Linked DNA regions of Rhinolophus ferrumequinum. The protein of the gene in region 1 interacts with the protein of each later gene in a pairwise test. Links are inferred from orthologs where the notes say so. Each region holds a gene or a part of one and is shown in the gene's direction. Other genes may lie near its edges. The genes, in order: PFDN5 and PFDN2.

Evidence for each region.
Region 2: the proteins of PFDN5 (region 1) and PFDN2 interact in binary tests that used the Homo sapiens proteins (3 or more experiments, as listed by UniProt). The link is inferred for Rhinolophus ferrumequinum from reciprocal best matches to the Homo sapiens genes PFDN5 and PFDN2.

The regions. Positions count from the first base shown.
Region 1 is NC_046293.1:53,183,569-53,198,979, forward strand, and holds PFDN5 (prefoldin subunit 5), read left to right. Parts: upstream 1-7,558; 5' UTR 7,559-7,641; coding exon 7,642-7,713; intron 7,714-7,901; coding exon 7,902-8,004; intron 8,005-8,308; coding exon 8,309-8,340; intron 8,341-9,267; coding exon 9,268-9,342; intron 9,343-9,458; coding exon 9,459-9,564; intron 9,565-10,356; coding exon 10,357-10,430; 3' UTR 10,431-10,532; downstream 10,533-15,411. Other genes in the region: ESPL1 (separin), read left to right, coding at 362-1,350, 1,775-2,129, 2,323-2,484, 2,867-3,080, 3,179-3,369, 3,856-3,983, 4,119-4,241, 4,729-4,884 and 6 more; MYG1 exonuclease, read left to right, coding at 10,803-11,015, 11,178-11,290, 13,635-13,794. UniProt on the Homo sapiens protein: Binds specifically to cytosolic chaperonin (c-CPN) and transfers target proteins to it. Binds to nascent polypeptide chain and promotes folding in an environment in which there are many competing pathways for nonnative proteins.
Region 2 is NC_046305.1:2,293,279-2,308,370, reverse strand, and holds the start of PFDN2 (prefoldin subunit 2), read left to right. Parts: upstream 1-9,105; 5' UTR 9,106-9,171; coding exon 9,172-9,246; intron 9,247-14,177; coding exon 14,178-14,266; intron 14,267-14,374; coding exon 14,375-14,498; intron 14,499-14,989; coding exon 14,990-15,092. Other genes in the region: DEDD (death effector domain-containing protein), read left to right, coding at 3,474-3,798, 3,898-4,005, 4,265-4,411, 4,858-5,234; NIT1 (deaminated glutathione amidase), read right to left, coding at 6,546-6,812, 7,087-7,212, 7,356-7,489, 7,671-7,774, 7,867-8,327. UniProt on the Homo sapiens protein: Binds specifically to cytosolic chaperonin (c-CPN) and transfers target proteins to it. Binds to nascent polypeptide chain and promotes folding in an environment in which there are many competing pathways for nonnative proteins.

The DNA.
Region 1 (15,411 bases):
GGAAGAAAACATTAGGGATTTTATTGAAAAAAATAAGCCACTAATACTTAGTGTGTTAGTACAGTAATATATATATATGAGTGACTAGTAGGTAAATTACACTTATATTAGGGAGTTGGGCCCTGGGGTAGCTCAGGAAGTTCTTGGTATCATTTCTCCCAGTTTTGTAATTCCTTTTTTTCCCCCGTCCCCCCCCAACTCCGATTCAAGCTGTTGTTCTCAGTCTAGTTGTGGAGGGCGCAGCTCTCTGGCCCATGTGGGAATCGAACCATTGACCTCGGCATTAGGAGCTCAGCACTCTAACTGCCTGAGCCATCTGGCCGCTCCCAGTTTTGTAATTCTTCTTCTGCTCTTTCCTCAGAGTTTTGTGGACTAGCCCAGCACCCAGACTCTGTGAAGAAGGTCCACTTGCAGAAGGGGAAGCAGCAGGCCTGGGTCCCCTGTCCTCCAGAACTCCCAGAAGAGGAGCTCTTCATAAGAGGCCCTGCTCTGGAACTGGTGGCCACTCTGTCCAAGGAGCCTGGTCCCATAGCACCTGCTACTAACTCCTCCCCAATCCTGAAAACAAAGCCCCAGCCCAGCCCTGGCTTCCTGACCCATTTGCCCACCTGTGACTGCTCGCTCTGTGCTAGCCCTGTCCTCTCGGCAGTCTGTCTACGCTGGGTGTTGGTCACAGCACGGGTGAGACTAGCCATGGGTCATCAGGCCCAGAGTCTGGATCTGCTGCAGGTTGTCCTGAAGGGTTGCCCTGCAGCCACTGAGCGCCTCACCCAAGCTCTACAAGATTCCCTGAATCACAAGGCAACCACCTCCCCCATCCCGAGCCTCTTCGATGAGATCTTGGCTCAGGCATATACACAGCTGGCACAGGAGGGGCTGAGCCAGCCATCAAACAAGAGCCTGGAGAAAGTCCTGAAGTCAGGGTTGAAGTTTGTGGCAGCACGGATACCCCACCTGGAGCCCTGGCGAGCCAGCCTGCTCTTGATTCAGGCCCTTGCAAAGCTGGCTGGCCTCAGCTGCTGCACTACGCAGCTTTTTGCAAACTCCTGGGGCTGGCAGCCACCATCAGTAAAGCCCCGCCCAGGCTCAGAGTCCTCTAAGCTTCGGAACCAAAAACCTTCTGGACGAGGGCGCCAGCAAGTGGTCTCTGCTACCCTGCCCCTCCATAATACCTCTCTGAAAGGTCTGGAAGGTGGAGGACCACCCTGTACACCTAAGCCCCCAGGCCGGCTTAGGCAGGCTGGCCCTTGTGTCCCTTTCACCGTGTTTGAGGAAGTCTCCCCTACAAAGAACAAGCCTGAGATTCCCAAGGCCCCTAAAGTACAACAGAGGATCCAGACCCGCCTGAAGGTGAGGTAGGACTGGCTGGGTGGTGCTGGTGTTGGGTGGTCCTGGAGAAGAGTTCCGCAGCGCAGGTGTCTGTGGAGCAGCTTCCCAGGGACTGATGGGACCTTGAGCTCTCCTGTTATCCTGCAGGATCCCTACATCTTCCACAGCAAGACCTGCTTCCAAGTCTACCTTTGTTTCAGACAGAAGGCACTTTCCCTAACTCTACGCTTCCTTTCCCCTTTCATCCCTCCTCATCTTCTGGTCCCTTCTCCTCTCCCTCCTTCAGCACCCAGGAGTTACTGCCCCTGGTTGAGTGTGGCAGTCTGTGTGGGAGGTTCTGAAATTTTCCCCAAAGGCTTCTGTGCTGGTGCCTCCACAGCGCCACCTGCTGTCGGATGATATCACTGAAGGCCCCGCGGCCCTTCTCCCTTCCCGCCCATCGCAGGTAATCTTCAGTGATGACAGTGACTTGGAAGACCCAGTTGAGGCACGGCTGGCAGAGGGCGCCCAGAGACGGGGCGCTGCTCCCCGGGGCCGGGGCCGGGGCCGAGGCCGAGGCCGGGGCCAGGCTCGGAAGGGCCCAAGCTGGAAGACTGATGCAGTGACTGCCCCAGGCGGTACCCCTGGGCACTCGGGCCTCAGTGGCAGGAGCCGGAGGCCCAAGAAGGTGGCGTCTGGGCATCGTGAGGAGCGAAGCCCTGAGATTAGGAGGACCATCCCTGAGGAGGAGCTGACTGACAACCAGATGGAAATGAGCTTTGAGATCCTCAGGGGCTCTGACGGGGAAGAGTTAACGTCAGGTATGAGGGCAGGGGTGGAAGGCAGAAGGTACATATGTTTTCAGGGGGCTGCCCTGGGACCAACGCACAAGACATAACCGGTGCCAAAGACAGTGCAGAAAGTTCTCTTGCTGACTCTGGACTGGATACGGCAGGGAGAACAAGGGATGGCAGAAGGAGGTTGTTCCACAGAAAAGTCATCTTCTCTCCCCAGGTGGGAAGACAGCAGCTCCAGGGCCTGACGCAGCCATAGGAGAATGTGAGGTGTTGAGACGGGATTCCAGCAAAGAGGAGCTGCCCGTCTTGTGCCCAGATAAAGAGCGCGACCAGGGTCTCCGTCCTCGGCTGCAGCGCCCCTCCGCCCCGGTACCCATTGGTGAGGTCTGGTCACCTGGAGAGGGCTGCGCCGCTGGGTCTCTTGATCCCAATGCTTTTCCGGTCTGTCTTGGTTCTGGCTTTAGATCCCCACCTGGATCTGCAGCCTTTGATTCTAGTTTAAATTCTAGTCCTCTGCTACCTATTTGCAAGTCACTCAACCTCTCTGAGCTTCTATTGACTTAACTGTAAAGTGGGGTTTGGGGAGGACAGCAAAGTGATGCATGTAAGGTGCACAGCACCCTACTTGGCACATTGCCCTTCGTAAGTGGTGGCTGCTACTTTCCAAGTGGGAGACGAGATAGGGACCCCTTCTTGGCAAGTTCCTATCAGCTAGAAAATGGGGGATTCATCTATAGCCAAGTATCTTGACCTCTCTCTAGGTGTCTCTACGCTGGATTCCATCTATGACTCACTGAGCGTTGCTTTCCGTGGGGTCAGTCACTGCCCTCCTAGCGGGCTCTATGCTCACCTCTGCCGCTTCCTGGCCTTGTGTCTGGGACAGCAGGATCCCTATGCCACTGCCTTCCTCATCACTGAGTCTGTCTCCATCACCTGTCGCCACCAGCTGCTCACCCACCTCCACAGGCAGCTAAGGTGAGTGCCCACCATTCCTAAGGTTTGTCCTGGGCAGACTGGACAGAGGGTCCAGATTTTGAAGGAGGGAGAACTCACCCCTTCTGTGTTGCCTGCAGCAAGGCCCAGAAGCACCGAGGATCACTCGAAATAGCAGAGCAGCTCCAGGGGCTGAGCCTCCAGCCGAGGCCTGGAGATGTCCCCCTGACCCGCATCCAGCGCCTCTTTTCCTTCAGGACGTCAGGGTCTGGCCATTTCCCCCAGCCCGAGAAGGAGAGTTTCCGGGAGCGCCTGGCTCTGATCCCCAGGGGTATGGTAGCTGGCTTTGGCTGGTTCTCCTGGCCTTTTATTCATCTTCTTACTGAAGAGTTGGGTGAAGGTGTTTAAGGTACTAGTTAGCTCACATAGATTTGTGATCCTTATGAAAAGACATGTCCTACCTTTTCATTGATTAGTCATTTTGTGATTCTCACCAAACAGGCACACCCTAAATCTAGTCTTTTTTTTTTAACCTCAACTTTGAGTTACCAGTAAATTCAATGTCTTTCTCCACGGATAAGTTCAGGTGTCCAGGGTCTCCCTACGCTAACATGAAACACATGATTTGAGTGCTTCCTTCTGTGCAGCACCCTTTGTTCATTTCTGTGAGGGACACAAAGAAGTACAAGACATGGTCTGTGTCCCCAGGGAGCTGTGAGAACACCTTGAAATCCAGTGAGCAGGAAAGGCTTCTTAGAGTTGTCTAGGGCATTCCTTGTAACAGCTGAAATGATTCTGGGTTTGTTCTGTGTGTCAGGGGTGACTGTGTGTGTGTTGGCCTTGGCCACCCTCCAGCCTGGAACAGTGGGTGACACCCTCCTGCTGACCCGGCTGGAAAAAGAGAGTCCCCCGGTCACTGTGCAGATCCCCACTGCCCAGAGCAAGGTAGGTCTCCGGGTCTAGGGAGCAAAGTTGGGCTGGGATAGGCCTCTGGTCAAGCTGCTCATATTTCTGTGGCGGTCGACAGAGAGATGGGGCTCACGTGAACAGGTAGAAATCTCACAATCCCATCTCCCAAAGCTTCCTCTGAGTTCGGCCCTCAAAGAGTTTGATGCCATCCAGAAGGAACAGAAAGAGAACAGCAGCTGTACTGACAAGCGAGAATGGTGGACAGGGCGGCTAGAACTGGACCACAGGATGGAGGTGTGTGCTCCCAGGGTGGGGTGGGGTCATGCCTACCCTAGGAATGACCTGTGCGTGCCTGGGGGCTTCTCTGAAGGGTGCCAGGTCAGTGCTGAGCTACCTCAAGTCCTTTCTGGAAGTGGAGGCCTAAATAAAAAATTCTGTTACTTGGGAAGGACTTTAAACAAAGGCCCAAAACTTGAAGGTTATGGCAATGGAATGTTTAAAGGTACATACAAGAAAAAGGATTTAAGCCCAAGTATCAGCTTCCTGGCTTTACCTTTCATTGCCCACCTGTTCATAGTTGCTAAAACATAGTGATATGTAACAAATCATCTTACCTACACTCCCCCAGGGTCTCAGCGAATGAAAAATGTTTCCACTTCTTGCCTTTTATGGCAAACCTATTTACTGGAAAACCCATTTCCTCATCTCTAAAATGTTGGTGTCTGCGGGGAGAGAAACTCAGCTTCCTCTCTGACTGGAGGTGCGGTTCTTCTTCATTCAGGCCCTCATCACTTCCCTAGAGAAGCATGTGTTGGGCTGCTGGAGGGGGCTGTTGCTGCCATCCAGTGAGGACCCTGGCCCCTCCCAGGAGGCCAACCACCTGCAAGAGTTGCTGCAGGAATGTGGCTGGAAATATCCTGACCCCACTCTGCTGAAAGTGAGTTGAGAAATCAGGGAAGGGGAGGAAGCTAGACAGTTCTTTCCCACCTGCCATTGTGAGTGGCGATGGGGGAGCTATGGCACTCACTGACCACTGTTCCCCTTCAGGTCATGCTAAGTGGTGCCAGCAGACTCACCCCTCAGGACATTCAGGCCCTAGCCTACGGGCTGTGCCCTGCCCGGCCAGAGCGAGCCCAAGAGCTCCTGAGTGAGGCAGTAGGACGTCTACAGGGGCAGAAAGTACCAAGCAATAGGCACCTTGTCTTAGTGCTGGACAAGGTAAGGAGCTAGGAGGCAGAGGGGCAGCGTCTGGTGGGCAGTGGGCACCAACGCATCCCCACGCCCCTTCTCACTTCTGCATATACCCGGCTCGGGACAAACCTCTGAGTGCTTTTTGCCCAGGACCTGCAGAAGCTGCCATGGGAAAGCATGCCCAGCCTCCGGGCACTGCCTGTCACTCGGTTGCCCTCCTTTCGCTTCCTACTCAGCTACGCCATCACCAAAGAGGTGGGATTCAAGGAGTGGGGACTGGGGATGATTGGCAATTGGGGGAAGATAGGAGAGTGTCCTAGGAGTGGATGAGCCGTGGGACGGGGCTTGCAGTTTGTTGGAGCTTGGGCATCTGGCTGGACCAGGATCATAATCACCAGTGTCTCCTCCTCAGTCTGGGGCCTCGTCAGTGCTGAGCCAAGGGGTGGATCCACGCAGTACCTTCTACGTTCTAAACCCTCACAACAACCTTTCAAGCACAGAGGAGCAATTTCGAGCCAATTTTAGCAGGTCAGGAGGATAAGAGTAAGAAAGCGGGTGGGGAAGGGTAGAGACAATGTATAGGGGCAACATGTCCTTTTCTCTAGAATCAGATGTTGCAGCCCACCTTCTCCCGCCCTCTTTCTTAACTACATGACCCTTATTCTTACTACTTTTTCCCTGCAGTGAAGCTGGCTGGAAAGGGGTGATTGGGGAGGTGCCAAGCCCAGAACAGGTGCAGGCGGCCCTGACGGAGCATGACTTATATATGTGAGTGCTTAGGGCCGGGAGGTGGGGGCAGGGGCAGTCCCAGAGGAGGGTATCACTTGGGTTTGCTTTGGGGCTTAAAGCTCCTGGCTGACTCAGGATGCCTTTGGAGACAAGCAGAGGCCTAGTACAGCTAGGTCAGACTCATCTCAGCTTCTTCTGCCTTAGCTATGCAGGGCATGGGGCCGGTGCCCGCTTTCTGGATGGGCAGGCTGTCCTGAGGCTGAGCTGCCGGGCGGTGGCCCTGCTGTTTGGCTGCAGCAGTGCAGCCCTAGCTGTGCATGGAAACCTGGAGGGCGCTGGCATCGTGCTCAAGTATATCATGGCTGGCTGGTGAGTCTCGAGGGGCAAAGCCCATCCTAGGTCCCAACCCCAGGTTCTTTCCAGGTCTGAACCCTAAATCCTTCCCCTTGTGCCCCACCTTCCTCCCATCCTAGTTCCCTGACATGCCTGGGCCCTTGTGCCATCTTCTCTCCTAGAACTATGGGCCAAGGGACTTCCTCATTGGCTCAGTCCTCTACTCACCCACCACCACCATCAATCGTGTTTTCCTATATATTCTGTCTTAGAGCCCTTTGTACTTCTTCCTTCTTTTTTCCCAGTCCCCTGTTTCTAGGTAACCTCTGGGATGTGACCGACCGTGACATCGACCGCTACACAGAGGCACTGCTGCAGAGCTGGCTTGGAGCAGGCCCAGGAGCCCCCCTTCTCTACTATGTCAACCAGGCCCGCCAGGCTCCCCGACTCAAGTATCTTATTGGGGCTGCACCTGTAGCCTATGGCTTGCCTGTCTCCCTGCGGTGACTCCTTGGAGCTGTCCTATTGCTGATAGAAGCCGTATGACTGTTCTACCTCCCATACTTCGATTTAACCCTTAGGATAAATATTTTAAGTGATTTCCCCCAGTGTTTTATATGAAACATTATCTTTTAATTTAACTTTAATATAATAAAGACATATTACTTAAACCTTGTTTTGTGTAGTTCATCTGAAAACATTTGAATATGACGGGTGCCTCTCCACTCTCCTCCCACTATGTGGTATTGTAAACGGAACAGTTTGCAGTTCAAGTCTGAGAGTATTGGGAAGAAGGGCAAAACCACAGGACAAAGCTGGGCCTGGTTTGGCCTCAGATTCTGTGGTCTGCTGCTTATGTGTGACTTTTCGCTCCCCAATTAAATTGTTAATCTCAGAAGCACTGATCGAACACATTCATGTATCCCTCACATCTAGCACATGGTAAAACATTGTATTTACTAATAAACCTCGTGCTGTAGTTGGTTGATAACTTGCCTCCTTATTGTTCTCTTCACCAACAGACTCTCCTGCTTCATCTTCCCAAAGCACCACTGTCCCGATGCTACTTACTCCCCTTGACCCAAGAACTTCACAGGCGTCTTCCTTGCCTGTCAGTCACTGGGTTTATACCGCCCACGTGGAGTAGCAAGCATTGCTCTGCAATATTGTGGTTACAGCCTGAGTACTTTTAAGATTTTTAAGTTCCTTGAAGGCAGGAGTCCTGTTTACTACAACTTGACTACGCCAGGCTTGGGATGTTTTATGAAAAGAACGTGCGGCTATCTTCTCTAATCCAAGGCGAGATTCCATTTCGGGACGGAGGATCATAGAGATGTTTGGCGCAGCGACGCCTCCAGGCACAGCCATCGAGATGCGCAGAGGGACAGCTAGAGCGTCGCTCGCGAAGCCGGCTTCCGCTTTCTGAGTCTTCCTTCCCAATATGGCGCAGTCGGTTAACATCACCGAGCTGAATCTACCGCAGCTGGAAATGCTCAAGAACCAGCTGGACCAGGTGGGGACGGGCCCCAGAGATACTCCTTTCCCGCCTCACATCCCTCCTGTCCACGCGTACGCCCTCTCCCCCCCCATTCCTCCCCACTTTGGAAGGCTTCTCTTCCCCTGCGAAACCCCCACCCCTTCTCTGGCGGTGCCCCCCCCCCCTCCAGTCCCTGCACTGACCCTCTTTCCTGAACTCTGTAGGAAGTGGAATTCTTGTCTACGTCCATTGCCCAGCTCAAGGTGGTACAGACCAAGTATGTGGAAGCCAAGGATTGTCTGAACGTGCTGAACAAGCACAACGAGGGTATGGGGTAGGCGCGCGAAGGCAACCTGGGGGATGTGGTGAGCCGGCTTCTCTCGTCCCGCCCCTTACTCCAGTCTTCCTTATGTGAGACGAGAAAACAATTCATTACGTATTATGTACTGCAGCGTGAGCCCTTTGCATGTTACCTATCCAGAATTGAAATGTACGGGACATTCCTCTGCTCTTGCCGCCCGTTTCTGTTCTTTTCATACTATCTGCGCTGTGCCATATAGGAACTCCCTTCAACCTCTTAAGGTTGGAGCTGCCAACCTTCCCCAGATGTTTGTCTTAATTGTTTTCACAGGGAAAGAATTACTCGTCCCCCTGACGAGTTCTGTATCCTTTCTACAGGAACTCCCTGCCCTTTCCTTTCTCCCTCACCCCTGCTCCGCAAAAAAGGCGTGTAGTTTTGATGACTCCAGAGTGCCCCCATGATTCTGAGAACACTTACTATATGCCCAGCTCTCCTATTTATGTATAACCTGGGGCCGACATGCAGCTAATGCCTTGTGAGCACCAAAGAGCATGTAGAATTGAGGTGTGATTATTTCCCTTTGCTGTTTGAGGATATAATCTAACATGGAGATAAAACTGGTGGTTTACGCTTTTACTAATAACTTAGAAGACATAAGCCATAGAAGGGTAGAATATAGGAACAAGGGAGTTGGCTCTGTTTATTAATCCTCAATTCAGCGTAATTGTGGCTCTTAATTCCTAAACTGTTACTAAGAAACCTGGATTGTGGCTACCTGTTGATTGTTTTACTTGAATGATCAGGTTACCACAGTACAGCACCTGCAGTCTGAGAACTGACAAGCTAAAACAGAAACACGGAAATAGCAATGTAGTAGGGATTGGCTAACTAATGAACATTAAATCCATCAGGAATTAACTAGTTCATGGTTGGGGGTGTTGAGGGGAAGTGAGACCGGCTTTTCACTTTTACTACTCTACTTACAGTAGGAAAATACTGTAGTCTCTCTGGAGGGACTAATGGGAAGAATTGTAAACACTGCTTGGAGGGTGGGGGATGGGATCAGGGCAAGAGAGTAGTTCAGTGTATGTCGTTTTCTCCATAAGGAACCAACTTCTCTGTCTCTCCACATTTGGAGTTTATAGATGTTGTTCTAAGGCCTCCAGATTATTCAGTCCCTGTGCCTTGTAGCTTTTTAGCAAAAGAGGTTCTTAGGAGGCCAAGCAGGCTTGCTGATAAGGAATCATGACTCATGCTGGGCTAGTTTTTCCTTAATCCTTGCTTCTCAGATGTATGTCCCTGGGAAGCTACATGATGTGGAACACGTGCTCATCGATGTGGGAACTGGCTACTATGTAGAGAAGGTGAGTGGAAAGAAGCATGTGGATGCCCCTCTAAGCAGGGAAAGGGAGTTTAGGGGAAGATTTAGAATGCAGCATGGGGTGTCCTGTTAACCCCTCATCCACCTCTGACCTTTTAGACAGCTGAGGATGCTAAGGACTTCTTCAAGAGGAAGATAGACTTTCTCACGAAGCAAATGGAGAAAATCCAGCCAGCTCTGCAGGAGAAGCATGCCATGAAACAGGGTAAGCTTGGTATGGGCACCTCTTGACCCTTTCTGCCTCCATGATAGACAACATGAATTGCCTTGAGAACCACGGGGGTGTCCCCTTTGCTGGATTAAAACCATGTCTTTCTCTTTGGTGTCTTGATGTGTTGTTCTCTAGATTCTGTGCATTACATACCCACTATTTGTAGATACTTGGGTTGGGTGCTTGAGAAATTTAGAGGAAGGAATTCATGCCTGTGTTCTTGCAGAGTTCCTATTTCATGGGGATGGAGTGAGGGAGGAGATCCATGTAAATGAACGCACAAGAAATAAATATAGCCCTAAGTACTAGCAATTGCAACCTGGCTGTACATTAGAATCACTCAAGGAGTTTAAAAAGCCTGGGCCCACTCCAAACCAACTAAGTCAACCTGGGTGGTGGTGGTGGGGTTGAGGGCAGGCAGGGTTTCCAGGGTTCAGTTTTTTTCAAAAAAAAAAAAACACAAAAAACTCCCCAGGTGATTCTTTCCACAGTCAGGATTGAGAACCATTGTCCCAAAGGCAAAAATCTTTCCCACGTTATAATTTTCTGGTTATGTCTGATTCATTTAATACTGCATTTTGTTCATTTTTATATCCCAGTAGTTGTCATATTTACTGACACATTGTAGACTCTAAATTTGTGTGTGTGTACCCCACAGTGGATCACTGTTCAAAGTTTTATTAATTGTAGTTGGTCGTCTACCTGTCCTTAAAACTTCACTGTCATTTTTCTTTAACTCTGGGTTCTCCCCTTTAGCACCTGACCAGGGTCTTTTTTTCCCCACAGCTGTCATGGAGATGATGAGCCAGAAGATTCAGCAGCTCACAGCCCTGGGAGTGACTCAGGCTGCCAAAGCCTGAGAGCTTGTTTCAGAAATGGGGCAGAGGGACCTGGGACTTTTTTGGAGGGAAGAGAAGGGCTTTGGATGTTTAATGCTAATAAATGTTCCACCTGGGCAGAAATGTTGGTCTTTTCTTGCATTAAGCCAGGGACTGGTGAAGAGCTGGGAGGGCAGTGGTGGAGGGGGTGTGCCTGTCCCCAGAGCCTGAGGCAGCGCTTATTTTGGAGGCTCCATTCGGACCCCTGGAGGAGCGGGAGAGAAAGCCTGCGCTGCGTACCCTGCCCGGCCTGCGGGGCCGGTTGCTGTGGGAACGGCCGCTAAGCGGAAGTGGGGCTGTGCGGCCGCTTCCCTTTCCGGGTCGGTGCCCCCGCCTGCGCGCGGGGGAAGCTGCATGGACCGCGGAGTTCTGCGCGGTCTCCTCTCGCTGCTACCTCCGCCACTCCACCAGGTGCGGCCTCGCATGCTGAACCCGGAGTCCGTGCCGCCCTCCAAGCGACCCCGCAGCCGCCTCATGGCTGCGCCCCGAATCGGAACGCACAACGGCACCTTCCACTGCGATGAGGCCCTGGCGTGCGCATTGCTGCGTCTCCTGCCGCAGTACCGGGTACAGCCTGCCAAAAACGCTGGGGCTGCCCGCCTTTCCTAACGGGGTCCTGGGGTAGCTCGGGCGGGCGGCCTGAGCACTCCTACCCTCCCCGGCTCCCGTGGGAACCTCACATTAACCCCCGCTGCTCTTGGCAGCCCCCTCACCTGTGTTCCCCTGCAGGATGCGGAGATTGTACGGACCCGGGACCCCAAAAAACTAGCTGCTTGCGACATCGTGGTGGACGTGGGTGGCGAATACGACCCCAAGAGACACCGATATGACCATCACCAGAGGTGGGTTCCCAGATACCTTTTCTTCACGTCAGGTTTTCTCAGTGCTCCAATGCAGCCGTCCGTGTCAGCAAAGGGACTGCCTCATCCTAGACAGCAAACTCTTGTGTCCCCTGAGGCTGCAGCCCTCCATCCTTCTAGCTCTCCGCCTGCTCTGCGCCCATCCACCTGTCCTTGGACCTCCCTGAACCCTTGCATCTGCCCGGGCCGCCCTTGGCTCCCAGTCAGTCCGTAGGCTCCTCACGGCTCACCTCCTTCCTTGGCTCAGACTTTTCTCCCACCAGCACCGTCGTCAGGCCAATTAATACCCCAGCTGGGACTAATCCATTCATGTGCCTTTGCTGCCCCGGTTCAGACTGCTGCGCCCACGTGATTGTGGTGGTTGGTGGTAGTTGGTGTGTGTGGTCTTCGCTTTATTTACACTCTTCCCTCGGGAAATCTGTCTTTTCCAAGGGTACCCCATTATCCACACTGCCATGCCAATTCTTTTCTCCTCATGTCCCTACCTCATCAAAATCCCTCAGCGAGTCACCCTGCCTCTTACTTTTCCAAGGAAATTTAGTTCCTCCTACATGCATGTCCTGTTTCCCACTCTCAAACATCCTCAGCTCCCTCCTTCCAGTTCAGGAAACACTGTTCCCTTGTTTGCCCCCTTTCCAATCTATTACTTTCTCCTCTTGGACTTCACAACGCAAGTCTCCCACCAGTGTTTCTACTTCTCCTTGCTGGCAGCTTAAAACTCCGCTCAGGCATCTCGCATCTTAAAAACAAAGGAACAAATCAAAAAAAAATTCTCCCTCATGTATACCTCATTGTTTACAGTGGTTATCTCTGAGGAATTATGAAGATAAATTATTTTGTTTGAAGTCTTACGTATTTTCCTCCCTCTTTTGTTTAAGTGTACATATTATTTTCATAAATGATGTTGGGAGAGAACCCTCCAGGTATTTACAACCTAATCTCTCACCCTCACTTCTCAGTCAGTCTTCAAAAGAAGAGCTGACCCTAGCTCCACATCCCTTCAATTCATACCATTCATTCCTTGGTTTATTCATTCAGCTGGTTCTCTCCCAATCTCTCCATTAGACATACTCAAGGAAAGGGCACCAGTGACCTCAAAACCAAACTCAGGTTGCTGGCCGAACATTTCTGGACTATAAAACATAAAATGAACACTGGTGAACCAATGTCCCTACCTAAGATCTGTAACATTCCCGTTACCTTTGCGTCCGCACCTTTCCATGTGCTTCTTCCCTATCCTACCCCCCCGCACGCCTCCCCCAGAAGTAAGCAATATTCTGAATTGTGTGTTCATCATACCCTTGTTGTGTATAGTTTAGCACGTCTGTTGCCAGCAACAATTTATTTGGTTTTGCTTCTGTTTGAACCTTATCTGGGGGAGTTTTTGTTATGAGTCTCTCTATATATACCTTATGAATATTTTATAATTCTTTTTGTATTTACTCAGTTTTTAACAATAAAGATCATTACAACAAAAAAATAAGCTCCCTAGGTGATTCTGATGGACTGGCATTTAGAAATTACAGCTATAATTTCTACTTCCCTAACAACTGTCATACCTTTTTCCTATTCTCTATCCCATTACTATGCAAAGTCCTGCCTTTCTCGCATACCTGGACCACTACAGGTATTCTCCTTGCATCTGTTCACCATGCTGGCTGGCACAATACTTTTTCTAACATGCACTTGCCTGCTTAAAAGTCTTTCAGTGGCTCCCATTACCTGCAGATGAAGTCCAAACTCCAAAATATCGCATACAAGGCCTGCCATGATTTGGCCCCTGCTTACCCTTCCACTTTCTTTTGCTACTCAACCCTCAAACCCAAGCTGCCTTTCTTGCAATTCCATGGAGACCTGTCTCTTAGCCATTGTACATGTTATTCCTTCTACCTGGAATACCTTTTCTCCTTCACCCACTAATTCATCTTTCAGGAATGACCTGCAAGTTCTCCTCCTGAACCCTTCCTCACCCCCTTTCTGTTTATAACCTAGCTAGAGCATTCGCTTGGCTGTTTGTGTGTCTGTCTGCCTCTAGTAGATGAACTTGAACAGTATCTTATTCATTTTTTATCCCCAATGTCTAAACACAAAGCCTGGCATGCAGTGAGCATTGAGTTAACCATTGTCAAATGAATGCATGGAGACTCCAAGCCGAGGTCCATGTTGACCCCTAAGGAAAATCCAAAGCCTCCCCAGCTGGGCTTTCTCTTCCCAACTCCTGCAGTATTCCCCAGTCTTCCCACCCCCACTTGTGCCTGCACATGCATGCACACTGTGGGTTAACTAGGGCAGCTCCGCCTCAGCGCCATCTCCCTGTGCTCCTCAGGTCTTTCACAGAGACCATGAGCTCCCTGTGCCCTGGAAAGCCATGGCAGACCAAGCTGAGCAGTGCGGGACTCATCTATCTGCACTTCGGGCACAAGCTGCTGGCCCAGTTGCTGGGCACTAATGAAGAAGACAGCATGGTGGGCACTCTCTATGACAAGGTGGGGACACAAGGACAGAGATGCCTCATACATGCATCTCCACCAGGCCGCTGGGAGTCACATTCACGCCGCACTCAGGACTGGGCCTCAGGTTAGGGTTCCTGGCCCATAGCTAGCCTACCACCATCTTCCTCAGGCTCATCTTACTGATCTCCTGCCTCCATCCTGGGGTGGTGGTGAGAAGTGGAGGAGGTAACATACGGGGATGGGCTTTGAAAACCATAAAGCAGTGCTTCCCAGTGTTTTTCTTGACCTGACACTTTAAAAAATGATTGTTCAACAACTTGCTTATGTTTGGAAGCATGTGCTTCGGAGGGTCTGGATGCCCTGAAGTGGGAAGGGAGCACATGTCAGGCACCACTAGAATTCACCAGATACACGAGTTGGGAAGCTCGGTGGGGAAGGGTCTGACTGAGAAAATATCTTTAGGTCCCACCAGCATCCCCTAAAAGCAACTCACAGCAGGCTCCTGCTGCTGGAGAAGGAACAGGGCTAGTGGCCCTGGCATTCATGTTGGCTCAAACAGTGACTCTGGACACCTTGACCCTACTCCTGTGAAGTGCACAAGTCACACTGAAGATTCAGTCAGCTTCATTGTTTGCAGACAGGCTGTTGAGTTCATGTCTTTATCTCCGCTTACCTGTCTTGTGTCCCTATGACAGCATTACTATGATCCAAACAAGTGAAGAAATGTCAATGGTTCAGTTGGAGCTTTTGGAATTCTAAGGTGGTAGCCTGCCTGGGTCAGTTTGCGCTCTGCTGAGGGGTTTCTAAGCAATTGAACTAAATTACACCCGAGATTTAACTGAGTATCAGGTTGGGGTCCAGACCTAGAGGTGCTGAGCATGGGAGTTTCTTTCTCGGCCGCCCTGAGAGTAGCACTTGGTGTACATACCACAGAGGTGTTGATATGGAGGTCTATTTTGTGTGGCAATTTTGCATTAAACACTGATATTCTGTATCATTTCTGCCTCCAAACTCTTGAGGCATTGTCCTGCCATCTCTCTAGGCTCAGGAGATGCAACAACTACTGGTGCCACATGGCACATTGTGGGTTTCTCTGGGATCACATGCCCATGCTTGACGTCTAACCAGCTCCCTTCCCTCCCACGTGACTAGTGTGCTTGGCTAGACCCTCCTTGACTTCATTAACCGGTCACTGAATAGCCCACTCAGCCCCTCTGGCGATTTGCCCTCCCTCAGCCTAGGGATCCACTCTCACAGCGCCCCTCGTGGAATTTGAGATCTTGTTCAGAAGTCAGCAGCCCCTACCCCATACATGCTGGTCTTGGCTCGGGCTTTGTGTGGAATAGAGTGAACACTGGATTAGAAATCAGACGATCTGAGTTCCAGCCCTGCCACTCACTACCATGTTTCCCCAAAAATAAGACCTAGCCAGACAATCAGCTCTAATGCATCTTTTGGAGCAAAAATTCATGTAAGACCCGGTCTTCTTTGAATATAAGACTGGGTCAATATAATAAACATAATACCGGGTCTAACATAAGATCAGGTATAATATAATATATAATTAATATAATACCAGGTCTTATATTAATTTTTGCTCCAAAAGATGCATTACAGCTGATTGTCCAGCTAGGTCGTATTTTTGGGGAA
Region 2 (15,092 bases), on another chromosome or scaffold:
AGAAAGCTGGGTATCTTTTGGGTTAAGGGGAACCTGGCCATATTCTTTTAATGCTGAAGTTAAATAGATTCTTGGAATCCACATCTGGGTTGCTGAGTGAGTGAAGTCACCGTCCTAGACGGTAATTAAGTGGGGAGGGCTGCCTGATAGCCTGCATGCCAGCCTCCTGCTGTTTCTCCCGAGGACATGGCTTCAGGAGACGCAGGCCTCTTCTCCACTTCACTTCACTGAAGAAGTGGCCTAACCAGGGAGGGTCTGCTACTGCTTTAGTTCTAGAACTTTGGCTGTGAGGGTTAAGTGTGGGATCCTTCTTGTCTGTCTGGCAGAGGATGGCACTGAACTAGGTCAGACTAGACTCCTGGGATGGGGCAGAAGACAGTGTAGCTTGTCCCTGCTCTTCACCTGAATGGGACAGCAGGTGACAGAGCAGCTGAGGTTGGACTGGGATGGAACTCCCAAGTGCTAGTTGGACTCATTAGTTAAATAAGTCTGTGTCTGACTAGCTTGCCTTTTCTTCTGGAACATTGTTTGATGGGTTTGGGTTGGGGACGGAAGGCTTCCTCTCCAGATCTTGGGTGGAAAGTGACATTCTGTTTCTATTCTTTCTGACCCTACGTTCTGCTCCATATGGAGCAGGGTTTCTCACCCTCAGCATCGTTGACATTTTGGGCTGGATAAGTCTTTGTTGTGGGGCCTGTCCTCGTGTTGTAGGGTGTTGAACAACATCCATGACCGGTACTCATGCATGCTGGTAATACTCCAGCCCCCCATGACAATCTAAAACATCTCCCGATGTTGCCGAATGTCCCCTGGGGGGCAAAGGCGCCCCGCTTAAGAACCACTGACCTAGAAGCTCTGAGTTTCTGGCACCTTGAGTGATCTGGCCTGGGGATCTAGGACTTAAAAGTGGCTGTTTTTCTCCTCAACTGTAGGGAGTTAACTCTCAGACGATTGAGGCCTGTTGTAGAGTTGTATCCATTGACAAATAATTAGGACTATAGTGTTTTCCTGTAGTTTGCCTCGTTTTCCAGTGGCCAGTTAATGTGGGGACAATATTTCTTCATTTCCTGGGGCTTATAGGCAGGGCATTTCGAATTAGGGAGTCCTGGAGCCCATGTGCTTTTTCGGGGATCCTTATAATCAGCAGCCGGCCAAAGGGAGCAGGTGGGATGGGGAACAGGGAGATGCTCCGGCTGTGAGGGGCTCGGGTCCCCAGGCTGCCTATCCTGAGCAGGAAGTTGTTCTCCTTCAGCCCCTCCCTTTATACCCAGGGGCTGTGGTGTGAAGTGAGAGGACCAGGTGAGGAAATCCAGTGTGTAGCTGAATAGCTCTTTTCCCAGCTGTTCCCCATGCTTCAGGGGGGTGGGGACATCTGGCCTGTCATAACTAGAAGTGGGCTGTATTTCTGATCCACGTAGTAGAACCCATGGTATGGGACTAAGTGATTCCAGGGTGGGCCGCCCCTTCTCTTAAGGATGTGAGTCTCCATGCTTCCATTTTACGGTTACTGAGGAAGAGGGGACCAGGTCCTACTTGCTCCTCAGTTTCCTGAGACACCCCACCCCTCTGCTCCCGCCAGCTTGGCTCTTCTGAAGTAGCTCATTTTATTCTCGTTAACCCAGACCCAGTTGCTCGGTATAAGAAAGGGACAGACAGCCCCTTGTTCTTGAGTAGGGTGCGGTAGCAGGGCAGCCCTGCAGTGTGGGGAGGCCACAGCCAGAGCACAGCATGGTCTCTGAGTTGCGTGTGTCTGGTTTTAATGAGGTCCTCTTCCTCTTGGACTCCCGTGAGTTTGTCTCCTCATTGGTATTGCTGTGATGACCTCTCTGACATGGAGGTCAGTGTATGCGAGGCTAGGCCACTGCTAGGCACTGGGAATCTAAAGGCAGATGTAGTTTAGTCCCTCTAACGAGTTGCTTAAGATCTAATGGGACAATCAACGCACAAATAATTTTTGTACACGTTGATAAATGGCTTCAAGGAAACAGGACTGTCCATGGGAGCACAGAGGAGGGCTACTTAGCCACGTGGTGTAGAGAAGGAACTCGAAGGTGGCATCTGAGCTGACTCTCACAGGGGCAGTACGTGCTGCCCATCTGAAAGACGGTGGGGATGGGGGCATTCAGGCAAAGGGAGTGGCCTAAAGGGACAGAATGAATGGAGTGATGTATGTGCACTGTAAACAGTCACCTTAGAGAATGAGGTGGGTAGAAATTGGAAAGGTGGGCAGGTTTGGTGTGTTGTGTAAGGAGCTGGGAGTGTTACAGGTCAGGAGGGGCTGTAGACAGGTCTTTAGCAGAAAAGTGATGGTCAGGCATGCACTGTAGATAGCAGTTTAGCTGGGTGTGGGGAGGGGTTTGGGCGATACAGGCTGGAGGGAAAGTGCCCTTAAGGCGGCCGCTGCAGAAGCCCTGGTGAGAGCTCCCTGGGACCTGAGCCAGGGCGGTGGCAGTGGCAAGGTGAGGCCGATTTGGGAAATACTCAGAAGCAGCGTCAACAGGGATTTATAGGTGATTGGGTGGCTGGAGGTTGTGCTCAGAGTGGAGCAGTACTGGCGTGTGCTCTTGGGGGGCAGTGAGTATGATTGACTGGAGCGGACGTGAACGTTGTTGGACCTGAGGATGGGTCCTGGGCTGGGTCATTCACAGGATGAGGGAGGGGCTTTCTGAATCAAATGCCCGCTGATAGGAGCGTAGGGCTGTGACTGGTAAATGACAGCCATGAGGAAAGGCAGGAGGTAACATGTCCAAGTGGCACCTCCTGCCACTCAGCACGGGCATGGCAGGTGTGTGGGTGTGAGCCCACCACGGTTTTGGGTGAGTACTGATTGACCTCCTGGACTTGGTTGGCTGGTAGGAAACCTAAGGATAGGTTCTGGAGGGACAAGTCTGGGCTGCAGAGGTCCGGGATGCTTCTCTCTGAAATCTCTTTCATGACGATGTACATAAGGTTTACAAAGTGGTTTACATGTCTTTTCTAAGTGGATTCTTAAAGAGAATGAGGAGTGGTTTCTTCAATCCGTGTTTTGTAGACAGGGGCATTGAGACTTTGAAGTTAAGTGACTTGTTTAAGGTGACACAGCTAACAGCTTAATGATGCAGACAGAATCGAACCGTTCTCGCCCTAAAGATTTTCAGTTTCCCTGCCGTTCGTCCCTAAGTTCATCTGTTACTGCTTCCACAATGGAGTTGGAGTGAATTCTCTTCTTCTCCTCAATTTTGCCTACATTTAAGAGGTGAACTGGAGGTGGGGAGGGAACAAGGAACCAAAAGCAGTATTTTGGTGGCAGTAGGGCCAATCATGGTAACACCTATGAGCAACTCCTGCTGGAAACGCAGCACTGAAACTGCCCCTGAGTCTCCCTTAGGAGAAGTCACTGTTTCTCCACAATGGTTTTTCCCTGCCCTGCAGTGTAGCGGGGGCCCCAGCGGCAGAGCGGGACCCCTGGGAGGCGCTGCGCCCCTGAGCCCAGCATGGCGGGCCTGAAGCGGCGTGCGAGCCAGGTGTGGCCGGAGGAGCGTGGCGCGCTGGAGCACGGGCTCTACAGCCTGCACCGCATGTTCGACGTCGTGGGCACCCATCTGACACACAGAGACGTGCGCGTGCTCTCCTTCCTGTTCGTTGATGTCATCGACGACCACGAGCGGGGCCTCATCCGGAACGGACGTGACTTCCTGCTGGCACTGGAGCGCCAGGGCCGTTGCGATGAGAGTAACTTCCGCCAGGTGCTACAGCTGCTGCGCGTCATCACTCGCCATGACCTGCTGCCCTACGTCACGCTCAAGCGGAGGCGGGCTGGTGAGGGCGCCCGGGGCTGGGGGCTTAGGGGCAGGGGAGGCCCCGCGGGAGGGCTGCACCAGAAGTGGGGTGTCTTCCTGAATGACCCCTCCCCCACAGTGTGCCCCGACCTCGTGGACAAGTATCTGGAGGAGACATCGATTCGCTATGTGACCCCCAGAGCCCTCAGCGACCCAGAACCGAGGCCCACCCAACCCCCTAAAACAGGTGAGAGGATATGAAGTCCCCTCATTGCTGTGATCCCATCCTAGCCCCAGTTCTGCCGGCTTAAGTGAAAGGACACTGTCCCCTCACGTAGCCCTATAAGCCAGGTGAGGCACTGTTGCGTCACCTTGGCCCTTTGTCCCCAGGTGTCCACGACCTGGGGGTCACATCGTGGCTACTGTGTTCCGTGCTCAGTGTGATTCCCCCCTCGTTGCGTGGCAGGTGTTTGACTTTGTCCTCTCCCCTCTAACCCTTTGGTCAGTGCCTCCCCACTATCCTGTGGTGTGCTGCCCCACTCCGGGCCCTCAGATGTGTAGCAAGAGGCCAGCTCGAGGGAGAGCCACACTCGGGAGCCAGCGAAAACGCCGGAAGTCAGTGACAGCAGATCCCAAGGAAAAGCAGACATGTGGTGAGGAAGTGGGGGCTGCAGAGGGCACGAGGACTGCGGACCCTGGGCATTTGGGCTCGCGTGGTGGCTGCACAGCGAGGCTGGGGTGTCTCGGGCTCCTCCCCCTCTGTGGCAGGGTGCATTTCAGCTCTTTTTAGTTGATACTAAATCAAAGTGGTGCCATTGTGACATCCACATTGTACGGTGCCAGGTCATGACAAGGTAGTGAGGTGACTAGGAAAAGGCCTGTTAGAAGAAGGGGCCGCTTGTGAATGATGGGGAATCTGGCCTTGGCCTGGCCCACTTGATCCAACCTCCTGCGTTAGGGCCAGGGTCTCTCAGGCCCTGGGAAGGAACGAGTCCTAGGGGCGAGGTAGGGAGTGTCATGTGTTGCCCACCCTGTTCTGCCAGCCTTTCTCGCACAGCCACCCCTGACCGCAGCCTCTTGTGCACGTCTTCCTCCCCAGACATCAGACTGCGGGTCCGGGCGGAGTACTGCCAGCACGAGACCGCGCTGCAAGGCAACGTCTTCTCAAACAGGCAGGACCCGCTCGAGCGCCAGTTTGAGCGCTTCAACCAGGCCAACACCATCCTCAAGTCCCGGGACCTGGGCTCCATCATCTGCGACATCAAGTTCTCCGAGCTCACCTACCTCGACGCATTCTGGCGCGACTACATCAACGGCTCGTTACTGGAGGCGCTCAAAGGTGTCTTCATCACAGACTCCCTGAAGCAGGCCGTGGGCCACGAAGCTATCAAGCTGCTGGTGAACGTGGACGAGGAGGACTATGAGTTGGGTCGACAGAAGCTCCTGACGAACTTGATGCTCCAGGCCTTGCCCTGACCTCCTTGGGGCTGCCCCGCCACTCACGTCTGGAGCGCACACTGTTCTGTTCTGGGGTTTGTTCTTACCCTGCCAACCAGTCACAGCCCTGCCTTTTTTTTTTTTTTTTTTTTTAAGGAAAAGACAAAGAACTATGGAAGCGGTGTCCCCACCCCTCCCTGCAGCCATGTGCCTGGGCTTCCTGTTTGTCCCCCTTCCCACTTACCCCATGTGTCTACAGCCACCTTGCCACTGAGCCAGAAGACAGATGTGCAGGGACAAGCAAAGGCTGTAGCGCAGTCTCCGTTAAGGGACTGAAGTGAACACTGCGTCTGCGTGCGTGCGTGGGGGTCAGCAGTGCTACTGGCTTCATGAGGGCTCTTAAATCCTGTCTGAAAAACCAAAGGGCTGTGAGTAAGGGAGCTGTGTGGAAGGTGGGACTCGGAAGTGGGTTTTGGAAATTAATCACCACCCTCTCCCAAATTACAGAATTTTTTAAAAACAAGCTGTGGCCCTTCCCACTGTCTCCTGGCCTCTGGTGCTGCTCCTCTGCCTCATTCCCTCCACACCATGGCCGAGACCTCTGCCTGGTGTGGCTCCTCCTTTGTCCCCTTTGTTAAACCCTCAGGGGAGAGTAGGTAAGAGGAATAGGTCAGTCTGGTCGCCCCTCCCCACTGACTGCGGTGTGTCTGTGCACACATGCACGGGTGGGCGGGGCGAGGCTGCTGATGAAAATAGACTCCCCCTGAAAAGGGGAAGGGGGAGTGTGAGCCTTCCTTCCATGTTCAAGTGAAAATAAATGATGGACCCTGCAGCCCTTTTCCCCTTTGCATCCTTCTGGCTTGGGCACAGGGCACAGTAGGTGAAAGTGAAGGAATTTAGTATCAGCTCCCTTTTTTGTCCACCCCCGCCCCCACTCCCACTCCTGGGCTTGGGAGCATGGGGCCAGGCCATGCACTGAGTGTCGCACTTTTATGTAGGTAGGGAGGCCTGTGGCGTGAGCCAGGAGGCCTGGATGGCTCCTAGTCTGCTGGTCCAGCACCACCTCCCATTTCAGCTCCCGAAGGAGATGTCCACACACAGACTTTATGATTATTATATTTTTTTTCAATGCCAGTGCTGCTCAGCCCTCAGCATAATTTCAGTTCTCTTGAAATAAACAGTGACTATATAAAATTCCACCTTTCTGAAACTGAAATCTGAGCTCAGGTGAGTTTCTTCTTTGCCAAGAAGCTGAGCCTCCAAGTGAGGGGAGCTGCGCCTGGGTCCTGCCCATAAGTTACAGCAACCCCGGCTCACAATGGGGGTCTCAGCGCCCCAAAGTGAGAAGTCTCAAGACAGTGGGCCACCCAGACTGCCGTAGAGATCAGGCCTGCGGTGCTGGAACACAGGCAGGTGTTGGCGCAACTCGCGTAGATAACGGAGGTCGATTCGGGCCAGGCAGAGGCCTGGTCCCTCAGAGCAGCGGGCCACCACGGTTCCCCAGGGGTCCACCACCATGCTGTGCCCGTAACTTGCTCTCTTCTCATGGTGGCGTCCACACTGTGCTGCTGCCACTACGTAGCACTGAGCTTCAATGGCACGGGCCCGCAGTAACACCTGGGGGTGGGGATGTGTTTCACTGACGCACACACGTAGCAGCTAGTGGGGAACTGACAGGCAATGGACACTGCAGGCCAGTCTACCCACTGTGACCATTCTGGTAACTGCCTAGGAAAGATTTACGATGTTAACTGTTCTTTAACATATGAGAGGCAACAATCTGGAAAATGAATTTTCTCACTAGTTGGGAAGGGAGAGAAAGTCTGTCAACTGGCAGGGCCGAGGGAAGACAGGTTGAGAGAAGGTGTGTTTTGAAGAGGTGTCCTCTTACCTCCCAGTGGGCTGGGCCTGTTACGGATCCAAAAGCCGAGGGGTAGGTAAGTATTTCTGCTCCAGCCTGAGCCAATGCCAGAGACAGTTCAGGGAACCGCATGTCATAGCAGATAGCAAGACCAATCTGGAAGGAAAACCAGCCTGCTTGGTTAGCCCCCATCCCGTCTGTCACAACACTGCTACCCTACTCCTTAGGGCTGCTGCTCCTCTACTACATGCCAGTGTCCCTGTTCCCCTCCCTCTCGTCCTACTATATGCCAGTCCCACCTTGCCTGCTGGTGTGCTGACGGGGGACTTGAGACTGGGCCCAGGCATGGTAGAGCTGCTTTCATGCATAGGCCCCTGCCCCGGAATCTCTACGTCACACAGATGCGTCTTCCTGTAAGTGGCCACTACCGACCCTGGAGTAAAAGAGAGGAGGAAACCTGGGGCTGGTTCTCTAGAAGCCCAGCTTTTAGTTCCTCTCATCCCAAGGTGATAGTTCATAGGCCAGGAACAGAAGTACGGATACTCCTGTTGAGAATTCTGGAGAATTGTTTAGAAAAGCCTGGGAAGAGGCAGACTAGAGTTATGACATCTCACCCTCGCTGTCCAGAAGCACATGACAGTTGTAGATTTTCTGAGTCTGCTCCCAGTCTTGGCCACGCTCGTGAAAGCCACCCAAGGACAGCCAGAGTCCACATTCCCTGGGGGAAGGGGACACTGACACTTCTCATATCTGGCAATCCAGAGACATTAACCAACAAAGAAACTCCCTCCCTCCCCCTTTCCCTGGTACCTGGCCAGCTGCGTATATTCTCCCAAAAGGCTCCCACCCAGTGGCTCAGACAGGTACAGAGTCTCTGCAGGGTCGCGTGCAATGAAGTCAAATGCCTCAGGCAGGAAAGCCAGGCAAGCGCCCAGTCGGGCGGCCTCTCGAACGAGCTCAGCACACGCTTTAAAGTTGTGCTGCTTGTCTGGTGTGGACGTTACCTGGCACACAGCCACCAGGGGTAGTGCCCCGGAGGAGGAGGAGGAGGAGGAGGAGGAGGAGGATGGGGAGTGAGCCATGGCTCTGGCCCTGCGGAGAGCGCAGGCAGGACTCAGATTTCCCAGCATGGGGAAACCCAAGTTGAACGGCAAGGGGCTCAAATGGGGAGGCAAGAAAGCTGGACACCCCTTTGACGCTGCTGTACAAGGAACAATGGCCCACCGATCAAATGTTCTGTGGATGGCTCGTACCCCACTGTCTCCCGCCATCCATTCATCCAACAGACATTTGAGCACCTACTACGTGCCAGGCACTGAAGATACGACAAACACGTTACCTGGGCTGAGCACAGAGTACTGAGAGTCGAGGTATCCGGAGTCCAGGGCACAGAAGGGACAGGAGCTGATGAGGCCTTACGATGAAGCCCTGCCTGAGGAGAGTGAGAAATAAGGACACCTACCCCTCCCTCAAGCCGTGAATTTCTAGGCTTCTCTGACTTCTCTCTTCATACTGTGCCGCTGAATCAGGGCCCTGCCTGTCAACACCCCCCTCCGCGCCCAAGTCTTGAAGACGCTCTTTGTTACAGGTAATTATGGGCCACGGGAAGAGATCACAAGATGGGAAGAAGGACGAAACCTCGACTTCGCGATCTCGCGTTAAACGGAAGCCCTCGTCCTCTGCCCGACGTCTCAGCAGTCCAAGGCCTCTCCCAGAGACTTCCTTGGTGCTCCCCGCCTCTCCTTTGACAGTGCACCTCCCGCACACCCCAGTCTGACGGCAGGTTCACCCTCCCTGGTTCCCAGCACCCGCGGTGGACGGGGGCGCTGGCACGCGGGCCCCAGCCCGCGCCCCCACTCTCCCGTTAACCCGTCCTCCCTGCCCTCGCAGCGCGGGCATTTCGGCTGCACAGGTCAGAGCACCGCGGGCGGCATTCACCGCGGCCGGCGGGACGCGGAGGAGGCCCTCCAGGAAGACACGGCCAGAACCACTCGCAGGGTCCTAACCCGAGAGCGGCCTGGAGGCGGCGGCGCAGGGGCGAGCGGGCGGAAACCCCGCGGGCGGAAGTGACGCACGGGTCTGCTCTGCGCGCCGGAAGCCCCTCGGGCGGCGAAGATGGCGGAGAGCAGCGGTCGCGCGGGCAAGAGCAGCGGGAGCGGCGCGGGGAAGGGGGCGGTGTCGGCGGAGCAGGTGAGGAGCGGAGAAGGCGGAGGAGGGCAGCCGGGCAGGGCCCGGAGGCGACGCGAGAGGAGGGCAGCCTGTGGCTGCTGCGGGCCTCACTCCAGTCCCGCGCTCGGTGCCGCTCACAGAGGGGAGGGTCGTGGGAGAAGGCAGCCGAGCCCTGCGGGAGAGTGGGCGCGTTGGAAGCTGAAAGCCGCGCCGCCGTGGGGTGTTGGGTGAGCCCCCTGGAAGCGAGAGCCGTCAGATGCAGGGCCTGGGAAGATGCACAGGTCTGGCGGGACGTGGGTCGTCACGTCCCCCTCTTTTCCGCACCCTCAGACGGGATGTAGCTGGGCCGGGCCGCTCGTAGCGAATCCCAGGGGGTTCGTCCTCGGGCTGGTTGTGTAGTGTTACCCGACCCTGAAACCAAGTTGACAGTTGCAGTCACTGCAGAGCCACGTGACGCACATAGCCGAACACTCATACTGTTTTGAGTCGGGAGTCATTATTAGGTTGAATTTCTTTAGAGGCCAGAAACCCTCTTCTAATCCGAGTTTGCATTCCCCCTAGTGCCCAGCATCGGGCAGCGTTTTATAAATTAATCAGAACGCCTTTTGTGGTTTGGGAAGCATGTTTTGCTAATAGTGGGGCTACTGTTTAATAGAGATGAGAAGAAATCTACACAAGAGAAAGGAAAACATAGCTAAACAGTAGCTCTTTTAATTACAGATTCCTTCAGTAGTTATTCGTTGAACAATTACTCAGGCAAATGTATCAGCGTAAAGACGTCTTTTTTCAAACTGTCCCTTGCCATCGAAGAGTTCTAGTCTGCTTGGGGAAAATACTCGTAAGATAACACGAAATGTTAATATAAGGCAGACGGTAAGTGTCCGAAGAGAGCTATAAAGTGCTGTGGGATTTTGAGGAGGGAGGAAGACATAGCCTCAGATTTAGTTGGGGAAAAGGGAAGGGAGAGGGAACCTGATACTTTTTGAGGGTCTGCTATGTGCCAGATACTCTGCTGGGTCCAGGGAAACAGACGAATGAAATAGACCTTGTTTTCAAGGTAGCTTGACTCCTTTGAGAAAAGACAAACCAAACAATAAGGTTTGCAGTGTTCCACACAGGCCCTTATTTAGGGCAGCTAGAGGAGGGACCCCAACTAAGCAGGAGGTTATGGGATTGGGGGTGGTGGCAGAAAGGGAAGCTGTGGTATAGCAGGGTGGCTAAGACTAAGATAAGAAATGCACCGGGGTCGGACAGACATGTGTTTGACCATTTCTACCATAGAGGATGACCTCCCAAGAGTTACTTCTTCGGCCTTTCCTGCCCTGTAGAAAACCTAATGGTACCTACCTCTTCATTGAATACTGGTTATTAAGCAAGACAATGCATGCACAGTGTTTTGCACCGTGACTGGAATATAGTATGGGCTTAATAAGTGCTAATTATTTTGTTTTCTAGAAGAGATAATCCTTCAGCTCCATTCTAAAGGATGAGAGAAGTGAGTCAAGCAAAGAGGAAGTGGAGGATTTTCTAGGTAGAGGGAACAATGTGTTTAAAAGCACTAAGATATGAAACTGCCTGACATGTTTGGGATGCAGGTGAACTTAAAGTTCGAAATGGTCTGCAAGACTTGAATGTGCAGAAAATAGGGTGAAAAGAGAATCTAGGATGTTTCTCAGGCTTTTGTCTTTGATGAATGGTGGTGCCACAGGGAGTATAGGAAGATGGACAAGTTTGGGGGGAGGGAATAAGTTTATTGTAGGATTTGAGTTTGGGTTTCTTGTGGGACATCCAGGTAGAGACATTTATTAAGTGGTTCGACTTATGAATCTTGACTTCCAGAAAGAAATCTGACTTGGAGCTCTAAGGTAGAGAATTGTGGCTTTCTGGATAGTAGACAGAGCCACGGTTGTGGATGAAATCATCTAGGGTTTGTACAGACAGTGAAAAAAGAAGCAGAATGGGGTGGAACCAACATGTAAGGGTGGTGGAGAAAGAAGCCCTCAGAAGACACTGAGGAGTGTGATCATTGAGTTCTGAGACTGTTCTTGCTTAACACTCTGGCTTTTGTTTGTGTTCCAGAGAGAACGCTGGGTAAAAAGCATAAGATTTATCATTGCTGCAAATAGGAGCCACATATGTCACTTATAAACAAGATGGAAGCAAGTAACTGATTGTGCGAGGCACTTTACTGGTTTTTCTCTTCTGTTACTTAATTACTGCCATTGAAGTAGGCTGTATTGTCTTCCCTTATAGATAAGGACAGTTGAGCTTCAGAGGCTTTAGTTCACTCACCCAGAGTCAGTAACTGGAAGAGCAGGGCTTTTAATTGAGGGACTTGAGAATCAGACAGACCTACTTTTTTCACTTATACAATGATCAGACCAGAAGAACGTGAACTGAGCCTGAAGGAGTGGATAGTTTTGAACAGGGGTAGTGGAAACAGGAAGAAGGGGAGAACACAGAGCATAGATTGATGCGAAGGGCAGTGACCGGTTGTTTTAATGAAGTCATGAGGTATAAGTCAGAAAGATGTGATCTTCCAAGTAAGTTGGATGTTTGCACGACAAAGAATTCTGGAGTTGTTGATGGAAGCAGGGAGGGAGTGATAGAAGGGTATGTGTTCCACTATTGAGTTTTTTTCCTATTACATAAAATAATACACGTTCATTGAGAAGATTGTAGAATACACAGGGAAAAGTACAAAGTAAGAAATAAATTACCATGACCTTGCAATCGAGAGAGAACCATTCTTACTGTCTAGGAGCATATTCTCTGAGAGATTTCCCCTCCTTGTGTGTGTGTGTGTGTGTTTGTGTGTGCGCGTGTGTGTGTGGATAAAAAGGGAGGACGTGTGTATTTTACATATTTTATAACATTGTCATTCTACAATATATACTGTTCTATAAAAGTTGTATTATATAATATATACTGTTTTGTAATCTGCTCTTTAAGCTTAATAATACATCATGAACATTTTTCTATGTCATCTAAGTGTTAGGAAAATGAAACCAGCAGCAGTGTGTAGGATGGATTTGGAGAGTCCAAAAATAGGGAGATAATTTAAAAGACTTGTACTAGTTCAGACAAGAGGTAATAAAGGCTTGAATTAGGGTGATGTCGTTGAGCCGAAGAAAAACTGCTGAGGTGGGTGCAATAAATTTGGCAGTTGATGAGATACGGATGTGTTCAAAGATGGAACCGGGGTTTCCTACCTGGAGGGCTAGAGTGCTGTCGTTAGCAAAAATAGGGGAGACAAGGAGAGGAACAGTTTAAAACAGGGTGAAAGGTGATCAGCTCAGCTTTAAACGACCTGAGTCTGAGGTGTTCCTAAGACATTGAGGTGGAGAGGTTCTGTGATAATAGCAGCACTGTTTAATGACAACCTGTCAGATGCTGGCTATTGTCCTAAATCCCTGATGTAATCAGTTACTCCCCACAACATCCTATGAGACAGATGATGTTTCTGTTTTTCTAGAGAAAAAACTTAGATTCAAAAAAGAAATAACTTGCTCATGGTCAGACTTGAGCCATTTTGTCTGACCCAAGGCTCCTTCCTCTAACTTGGGAATGTGGGTCTAGAATTTCTGAGAAGGTCTAGCTTGGTTGTCAATTAGAATGAGGGCGATTGTTGAAATCATAGAAGTAGCTAAGAATGCCAACTGAAATCATATAGGTAATAAAGGGAGGGGTACTTGGAACAGAGTCTTAGACCCTGTCTCCCTTGTAGGGGTGAGAGGAAGAACTTACAGAACAGAGAACGAGTGAGTGTTGGGAGAGGTAGGAGAACCAGAGAACGAAGGGTCCTGGAAACTAAGAGCTGAGAGCCTACGTTCTGTCAGACACTTGACTGTCACTTCAGTGTAGCTCTCACTGTTGCCTGTGGCAGTGGCTCTCAGCCTGCTGTGATTTTTGCGCCGAGGAGACACTTGACCTGGAGAGGGCCTGGGTTGTCACAAGTAGGAGTTGCTACTGGCTTTTAGTGGCACATTGCTAAACGTCCTGCAGTGCAATGGACAGCCCCCCAGAACAAAGAATTATCCCGCCCAAAATATCAGTAGTTCTGATGTTGAGAGACTCTGCCCTGTGGTGTATTAGCTCCGTTTTTGTAAGTGAGTAAACCAAAAGAAGTTAAGTAACTCGGTCACATAGCAAGTAAATAGCCAAACTAGAATTTGAACCCAGGTCAGATTAAAACATTTGGAGTCTTTCCATCATACTATGTTGCTACTTAAAGGAAAAGGTTTCAAGCAGCAGATTGAAGATTGAGAAAAGGTCGTTGGATTATGCAATTATGTAGGAGGCCATTCACGATCTTTGAGAGGACAATTTAGTAAGTACTAATAGTTTATAACTAGTAAACACATAAAGCAATTAGAATGCATCTTACAGTGTGTGGGGAGTGCATGGGAAGTGAGGAAGTGGAGGCTGTGAGTACAGACTAGTCCTAAAAACTTTGATGACGACAGGGAGGAGAACCATTATTTGATGGAGTAGTGAAGTCAAAGAAGTTTTCTTCGGTCGAGTGGAGTATTTTTGTCAGAGAAGAGGGCACTAAACTGGAAAGATAATTAGTGGAGCGATACCCTAGAAAATCCTTTTCCAGATGCATCCGATCGTAATTCTCCTCTTCCATTGATCCCAGTAAGAGTAAACAGGAGTTGCTCGTTACAAAGCTTTTCCTGATGCCCCCCTTTCCTTGCAAGTCCAGGAGCTGTCCACCTACCCACATTACAAATGGCTCTTCCTCCACCATAAACTGCAAGAGGGACCTGCATGCATCTCCCACTCGGGGGGCTCTGCGAGTGTCGGGTGAATGGAAAGCCAGGCAGACTGAAGTCAGACGTGCCAGGTTGTCCTCGTCCTTTCCCAAGGCATCTGTGTGCTACTGCAGCTTTGCCAAGCCTGCCATTTCCCGTCTCCTCTCTCACTTCTCGTCTTTCTCTCCTTCTTAGGTAATTGCTGGCTTCAACCGCCTTCGGCAGGAACAGCGGGGCCTGGCATCCAAGGCAGCTGAGCTGGAGATGGAGTTGAATGAGCACAGGTCAGGGAGCCGGGAGACGTGAACAAGAGGACAGTTGGGAGGCCACTTTGTAGGGAGGGTGGCAGTACAGTGGACCTGGGTCTCAGGCCCTGCCTTGTCCCCACGCAGCCTCGTGATCGACACGCTGAAGGAGGTGGGCGAGACCCGCCGGTGCTACCGCATGGTGGGAGGTGTGCTGGTGGAGCGGACTGTGAAGGAGGTGCTGCCGGCCTTGGAGAACAACAAGGAGCAGGTGAGCAGGAGGGGGGCTCAGGTTGTAGCGGTTGCCGAGGAGCCGTGCTCCTCACGCTGTTCTGCGTCCAGCTCCTGGACGCGAGGGCCACTGGCTGTGTGCCACTTTTTCCCAGTCGCTGACCTGGCTGGTGTGGGGGGGGGTGGGTGGGGAGGGGGTTCGACTAGAGTTCCTCACAGTGGAGTCCGTGGATACCTGCATCCAGATCACCTGGGGGACTGATGTAAAACGCAGCTTCCAAGGCCCTCTCCTGATTCAGAACCTTTGCATATGGGGTCCATGAAGTGGCATTTTTAAAATAAGCAGCCTGGGTGATTCTTATGTGCCCTCACGTTTATGAACCATTGTGTTTGAGAAAAGAAAACTTTTGGCTTCTGGGTCTACTCTTACTTCCAGGTTAAAGGTGAAGTTAGAGGTGTCAACCGTAGTCCTTACGCGGTGGGGGAGGGAGTCCTGGAGTTCTTACGGAATCGCTGTCGCTTGTCCTCTAGATACAGAAGATCATTGAGACACTGACACAGCAGCTTCAGGCAAAGGGAAAAGAACTAAATGAATTTCGGGAAAAGCACAACATTCGTCTCATGGGGGAAGAGG